Linked DNA regions of Rattus norvegicus. The protein of the gene in region 1 interacts with the protein of each later gene in a biochemical or structural test. Links are inferred from orthologs where the notes say so. Each region holds a gene or a part of one and is shown on either strand. Other genes may lie near its edges. The genes, in order: Rab5c and Rbsn.

Region 1 (3,913 bases):
GAAATAGAACTGACCTGTGGTAGAAGGGGGTTGTGGTTTTCATCTATAGTGATGGGTAGAGAGAACACAGGCAGTCCTTGAAGTAGAGCTAATTCTGATTGGGGGTGGAGGTGGCCCTGGTATGTTTGGGAGCAGAACCTAAGAAAGAAAGAAAGCTTAATCCATCGTGGTGGTTACACACACGTTTAATTCCAGCACTCCAGAAGTAGAGGCAGGGGGATCTCTGGGTATTAAAATACAACCCATCTACAAAGCGAGTTCCAGGCCAATCAGAACTACATAGTGAGAGCTTATGTGGAAGAAAGGGAGAGAGAGAGAGAGAGAGAGAGAGAGAGAGAGAGAGAGAGAGAGAGAGAGAGAGCCTGCCTGTGGCAGCAGCAGGTCTGCTTTTCATCCCATCTAGTATCATCCAGAGAACTCCTGGATGTAATTTAAAAATTGCATTTCTTCACATATTTGGGGGAGGGTGGATGAGGTTTTTTTTTTTTTAAGATTTATTTATTATATATAAGTACACTGTAGCTGTCTTCAGACACAGCAGAGGAGAGCAGGTCTCATTACAGATGGTTGCATGTGGTTGCTGGGATTTGAACTCAGGACCTCTGGAAGAGCAATCAGTGCTCTTAACTGCTGAGCCATCTCTCCAGCCCTAGGATGAGTTCTTAAATGCCACGGCACACAGGTGAATGTCAAAAGACAACTTGTGGGAGTCTGTCTTACGCCATGTGAGTCCTGGGGATGGAACTCAATCAGGCTTGGCTGCAAGCACCTTTACCCGTTGAGCCATTTTGCTAGCCCCCAGAGGCCCCATTCTACAGAGTTTTCATCACTTTTTTTTTTTTTTTTTTTTTTAAAGCCAGGGTCTTACTACATAACCCTTGCGATTACTCACAGAGATCTGCCAGCCTCTGCCTTCGGAGCAAGCCATCACACCTGGCCTTTCCTATAATAGAATGTCCTCAATAATCAGCCTCCTGGATGGGCCTTGGCTTCTCTAAGTTGCCGAGGGCACACGACTGGTCTACGCGGCTACATGAGCATCATATTTTTCCTTTCTCAATTCTGCATGAACAGTCCTCGGTCTACCCTCTTGGAAAGCTCAGCCACATGCCTTCCCTCGGGGCACCTGGGACTGGCAGTGACGCGATAAGCAGGCCTAGACCGGCTCCGCCCCACCAGTAGCCGGTTCCACCCTAAACCCAAGTGCCAGGCAGCCCCCGGCTCCTCCCTGTGCTGAGAACTACAAGTCCCGCCATTCCTCGCGCGCACTCTTCCTCCTTTCCCGCGTTGATTGTGGGTAGGATCGGAGTGTCTCCCATTGGTCTGTCCTTTCTGTCAGTTACCTGAGACTATAGAGAGGCGGGGCAGAGCTGAAGATCCGGATCCGGAGCGGCTGAAAGGCGGAAGTGGAGGCCGGAGCCTGGGACACCGCCGGGGCGGGGGGAGAGGAGCGGAGTCTGTGGGAGCCCCGGCCCAAGTAACGCTGCTGCCCCGGAGCCGCGGTGAGTGTGCCTGTCCCAGGACCAGTGTCTTACCTGTGTGGAAGCCTCCCTGGGATACCCTTTCCTCCTGCCCAACCTTAGCTTAGGGGGACACTGACCCCACCCCCGACCCGTAGCCCCCTCTTAGGGGTTCACCAGGGCGTCGGGCCAAAGGGGGAGCTCCTCTTTCCTTCGCTAACCTGTACTTCGGGAGCCCTTGGGAGTCTTTTGAGGCTCTCCTCTGGCCTGTCCAGTCCACTTGTGGGAGAGAGGGACTCTAAGTTCCGCTCCCCACCCCCTCAGCTTTCAGAATCAAAGAGTCTTTACCAGGTGTGAAGGAACCTGTCTCCCTTCTCTTTTAGGGGTGGCGGAGAGTGCTGTCTCTCCTGGTTTCCTTACCTGTGTCCCCACCACCACCACCAAAAATCCCAACCAAAAAAACCAGTTGTCCCCTGCAGTCCTGAAGGAATTTTTTTTATCTCTATTTCCTTTGGGGTGTGTGGGGATGGGGGTGTCTAAATGAGAATGTTCTACACGCACAGAAGTGTGTTTGCGCCTTTACAGTTCCTTACTTCCTCTCGAGCCTACTAGGACCTCAGCAGAGTTTGAATTCTGGGCCACTTAGAAGGAATCGGCAGCCTTCTCCTTGTGCTGCACTTTATGCTCCCGGCCCAGTGTTAAGTTCTCTCTGTGTGTGTCCGTCTTCCTGCTTCTAAAGAATTTAGCTGAGCTTTGCTCAATCCCAGCGACACACAGATCAGGGAGGATCTGCTCATTCATTATCTTCTGTCTCCCCTCCTCCTTCCCCCTGCTTCAGGCTCAGCCCTGTCCTTCCAGAGCATGTGAGTGGTTTCCTTAGAGGGACTGCTGTCTGCTTATCTATAGGGAGGAGAATAGACCAAATATGAGTAGCGTGAAACTGAGGGACCATCTCTTAAGCACCGTGAATCACACAACACCATACACTTGAGCAACAGGTCCACTCCTCACTGGAGTCTCTCCCCTCCCCTCTTGGCTTGGACTTTACTACAGGGCAGCTAGGCCACATCACAGTGGCAGGTTTAGTTTTCGTCGGTAAAGGAACTGCTTATATGTGCAGAAAGTGCTGGTTCCCCTACTGTATTGTCACAGGGTCCTTGTGTTTTCCTTGGGACTTAAGTGTGTGAAATGGCTGCTATCTCTGACCAAGCTGGAAGGTTCTCGTTATGTGGCCAAAGTACAGGTCAGAGACTGCCTTCCTGAGGAGTAGCCTGATTCTGAGGCCACAGCTGACCCCTGCTGTCTTGCAGCAGGAGAAGAGTAAGAAGGCCATTCAGTCCTTGGGCGTCTCCGGTCAACTTAAGATGCTTCTTACCACACTGAACCTAAACATTTTTTGCTCTGAGATCTTTCTGACCTACTTCTAGACAGTTATAACATTTTAGGCTAATTTTGTGATGCATTTATTTCACTTCTTTTTGGATAACAAGAAACCCCTTCCTACCTGTCTCAACAGGTAGGTGAGACACCTATCCCCTCCCCCCACCTCCCACTGTGGGCTCAGAGACTCCGTGCCTGCTTATAGGAAGTGGTTTCTGCTAGACTTACCTTCCAAGGAGTGGATTGTGATTCCTGGGGTCTTGGCTGAGGCAGATGGACCTTCTAATGTGCGTTTCTGCCAGTTGTCTGAGCATCCTCTTCCCAGCTCTGACTTTAAAACACCCCTCTGCGGAAACTCTCAGTGACACAGAAGGCACTAGAGTTCTGCATGGTCCTACAGCCACTTTTGGCTTTCAGAAATTGTAGAGGCCCAGCAGAAAGCTGTTGCCGCTCTGCTGGGGATAGAGGGGTCACTGCTGAGAGGTTGCTGTTCCTCTAAGGTTGCTGTTCACCTCCCCTCTTGCTTTTCACACCTTGTTGGCCTTTCTGCCTGTCCACTCCAGGAGGAGTGTAAGAGCTAGTGTTTATGAGATATAAAGCCCCAGGGTTCTTCCCCTGCATATTCCTCACAGGAATCCTGGAGATGGTGGTATTCTTACCCCTACCTTAGAGATGATTCTCCCCTAAGACCACACAGTTAGAAGTGGTCAGACCCAGTGTTTGGAGCTTGGGTGCAAATGTAACCTTATCTTTTCTAAAAGCAGGCTCCCCTCCTATCTGCTGTGCTTGTTAAGTGAAGGAGCCTGCAGGAAGAGTGAACCAGGACATGACTACAGACTCTTAGCCTTCCATCTCTCGCCTTTGCTTTTGCCTCCCTCTCTTTCCCAACATTCCACCCTCTTCCTCTGCCGTGGCCTCCATGACAGTTAAGAATCCCAAGCCTGTACTCTTCAGGGCCTAAGAATTTGCTAACGTCTGTGTGTCATAATTTCTCCAAAACCTAACTCATGACGGCTAGAAAACGAAAGTAAAAGTGACAAGCGGAGTGGTCCCCCTGGGCAGGACTGAAAGGC
Region 2 (3,813 bases), on another chromosome or scaffold:
AGTTCTTAGACAATCAGGACTACATAATAAGTTCCAGTCTCAACTTAAAAAAAAAAAAGTGCCATTCTAAGTATATTAATTCAATGGTTTGAGTTTTGTGGGGGGATGGGGGGAAAGTTGTTTAGTATGTTCACAAAATTGAATAACCGAAAGAAATGTCAGACCATTTTTATCAGTTTGAAAGTAGAGAAGAAGCTAGGCATAGTGGTATGCACTTTAATCCCAGCACTCAGGAGGCAGAGGCAGGCAAATCTCTACGTTCTAAGCCAGCCTGATCTATATCATGAGTTCCAGGACAGCCAGGACTACATATAGTGAGACCCCATCTCAAAAAAAGAATAGAGCTGGGAACGAACCTCTTGCACAGCGCTTGCCCGGCCCTCAGGTTCTACTCCCAGCTCTTGCAGTTTAAAAAGGAACTAACGAGGACAAGTTATAACTGTGCGCATGAGGAAAGTAAGCTGTACAGTGCCCTCACTTGTCAGATAACCTGAAAGGAGACAGATCTGTCAGTGGGGTCTACGGCTAGGCTGACACAAGAAAGCCCCAGAATGATGGCCCTGCTGCTGTAGTTTGGCCACTATTTGATCCTCAGAAGGTTCCTAGAGACACACACACTCAAAGGAAGGCACGCATACAAAGCATTTAGCACAGTGCTTAATTAAGAGATCTCAATTCGTTCCCTTCCACTTTCTCTCCTTAGCAGGACTTAAGGCCAGTAAGATGCCTATCCCTGAGGGTTTACTGATTGATGCTTTCTCAGTCAGCTCCTAGAACAATACCTAACCCAGTCAAAGTAGGAGGGTGACCTGTTGAGAAGAAAGGGTTCAGTGGGAGAGGGAGAGGATCAGAGAGGATGACAGATGAGGGTGTAATGACTAATCTTGGCTGTCAACTTTACAGTATCTGAATCAACTAAAATCCAAGCTGCCAAGGACTCCTATGAGGAATTTTCTTAATTAGATTATTTAAAACAAAAAGATCTGTCCTAAATCTGGGCCACATCTTCTGGTGGCAGCCCACATAAAAGGCTATGGAAGAAGGAACTTTGCTTTTTAGTCTGTTTGTCCTCAATCTCAATGGCAAATTCGCCCATTCTGTCGCTGCAGAATCCAAATTCTTCAGGACTGCAGCACAGACTGAAGCCCAGCAGCTCTCTAGGAATCCATCAGTTTGTGACTACAGAGACTAACAACTACAAGATTCTCAGCCTCTCCGTCTTGAGATAGCCAGTTTTGAACTACTAGAAACATATTCTATATTCTATCTGTTCCTTTAGAGAAGCCGGACTAATACAGGGAAAATATAATCAATGTGTGTGTGTGTGTGTGTGTGTGTGTGTGTGTGTGAGAGAGAGAGAGAGAGAGAGAGAGAGAGAGAGAGAGAGAGAGAAAGAGAGAAAGAGAGAAAATAAAATTTTAAAATTGAAAGAGAGAGAGAAATAAAATTTTAAAATTGAAAGAGAGAGAAATAAAATTTTAAAATTGAAAGAGAAATAAAATTTTAAAATTGAAAAAAAAAAAAAAGACCTAAAACAGGGTAGATATCTCATAAGCACTGAATGAATTAATAAATGTTCTTACCAAGCTCTTGAGGTTCCCACATGTAAGGATCAACCCCTCCATAGCTGAATGATTCGTATCCTTGGGTCCCTGGCTCCACACGATCATCTCCTTCTCGTTTCAACAACTTGTTCTTTGCTTTCCTAGCCTTCTGAACAAGATCTTGAAAAAAAATAAAACAAATACCACAAATAAGCCCAAGATTATATAAAAGAAATAAATGCACAAGAATATTCAGATCTCAAGAGAAATACAGCAGTAAGTAAAGACCTTCTTACCAACCCCACAGAAGTCAGGACCAGCAGAATGCTATTCATGTTTCCAACATACAGGCTAAGTACCTGCTTACTGCCAAGTTTAATAGTCCATCTAAACATAAAGAGCCAAATCGGGGTTGGGGATTTAGCTCAGTGGTAGAGCTCTTGCCTAGCAAGCGCAAGGCCCTGGGTTCGGTACCCAGCTCAAAAAAAAAAAAAAAAAAAAAAAAAAAAAAAAAAATTAAGAGCCAAATCAAATTCAATGAGGGAACCAGGATGGTAGATTTTTGTTTGTTTTCAGACAGGGTCTGTCTATGTAGCCCTAACTATCCTGGATGACACTACACTTACCTTGAACTAGCAGACATTCACCTAAACTAAACTAGTTCTCCCACCCAAAACTAAAGGTGTGTACTACCATGCCTAACACAGTCTTCACTTTGTAAACACGACTAAACTATCCTAAACAAAAAGGGCAGTCCGCACTATTTAACCACTTTGGACAATAAAGGGACTGTCTGCTGAGTAGATGTAGTCTTTCCAAAGGAGCCCAGTTAACCCACCCATGCATCTTTGAAAATAAAACAGAAGCTACAGTCAATTTTCAACCATCTTTTCTTCTGGCTACTGTAAAAGGGCTTAAATACTGCTGGACCAGGGTTGGCTCAAACCCACAGACACTTTCAGAAATAGTGAGTTGATCTTGTCTACTTAAAACTGACTCCAAGGGGTTGGGGATTTAGCTCAGTGGTAGAGCGCTTGCCTAGCAAGCATAAGGCCCTAGGTTCGGTCCCCAGCTCCGGGAAAAAACAAAAAAAAACAAAAACAAAAAAAAACAAAAAACTGACTCCAAGAGGCAAGTGAGATAGCTCAATAGATAAAAAAGTACTTGCCACCAAACTTAAAGACCTGTGTTTGACCACCAGCACCCAAATGATAAGAAAGAACTTACTCCAGGAAACTATCCTTTGACCTCCACAGATGTACCATGGCATATGCCCCAACCAACACAAAATAGATGAATAAATGTAATTTTAAAAACTGCCTTCGAAACCTGATACCTGTATGCAATATTTTGGTATTCCATTTTTTTGTTATAAATATGAATGCTATTAAGGCCTACATAAAATATTAAGGTCTAGATAGAATGTTAAGGCCTGTTATCTGTCTAGTGCTGTTACTAACATTATAAGGAAACTTTCTCATATATTGCTTCTGTTACTAGGAAACTTTCTCATGTCCAAGTTGATTATGTATTCTATTATGCTCTGTACCCTTGGAAACCAATCATGATAAAATCAGTAAAACTGCTTTGTATAGTTACCCACAACAAGTTTGGACCTGAACTCCACCCAGCAGCACTTCCTGAACCTGTGTATAAGCTTTTATGGTATTTGCTTTTATAAACTCCCCCTGGGATGGACCCTAACATAAGAGAGACACCTGTACCACTATAAGAAACTATTTGGAAAAGACTTCCATTTTAAGTAGAGGTCAAGTGAACTTTAAGTTCCCAAGACTTCCCTGGGAACTGACATACTACTTGGCAGAAAGAAAAATGTATGTGGGTAACTGACATCCTGGTTAGCAAGTTAAGACATGAATGTTAGACAAGTCCCATCTTGGTTGACAAGTTCAGACAAGGCAAGTCTTCTACCATAGTTGAATCCTCCAACCAATGGGAGCGGGGTAAGTGCACAGCGAAGGCATGGTCTATAAAGAAGTCCCCATCCCTAAATCCTGACTGGTGAAATAACTTGTCACAGATGTTTGTAAATTTCAGGCTTATTAAAAAGCCCTACAGGATCTTGACTTATGGTCACAGTCAGCTGCCAAGTCTGACCTGTGGCCCTGATCCATCAGTCTGGGGTGTGGCATTCATTAAGTCATACCTCTTTGACTGAGCTTGGTGTTTGAGTGGCTTGTGCAGCGATTCCCAAACGCCTGTGAGTATGATGGCACACACCTCTAGTTTCAGCACTCAGAAAAAAAGA

The links.
Region 2: the proteins of Rab5c (region 1) and Rbsn form a complex in vitro, tested with the Homo sapiens proteins (2 studies listed by BioGRID and IntAct, with this or other methods). The link is inferred for Rattus norvegicus from reciprocal best matches to the Homo sapiens genes RAB5C and RBSN.

What each region holds. Positions count from the first base shown.
Region 1 is NC_086028.1:86,163,932-86,167,844, reverse strand, and holds the start of Rab5c (ras-related protein Rab-5C), read left to right. Parts: upstream 1-1,395; 5' UTR 1,396-1,502; intron 1,503-3,913. UniProt on the Homo sapiens protein: The small GTPases Rab are key regulators of intracellular membrane trafficking, from the formation of transport vesicles to their fusion with membranes.
Region 2 is NC_086022.1:126,259,481-126,263,293, forward strand, and holds part of Rbsn (rabenosyn-5), read right to left. Parts: intron 1,725-3,813; coding exon 1,584-1,724; intron 1-1,583. UniProt on the Homo sapiens protein: Rab4/Rab5 effector protein acting in early endocytic membrane fusion and membrane trafficking of recycling endosomes. Required for endosome fusion either homotypically or with clathrin coated vesicles.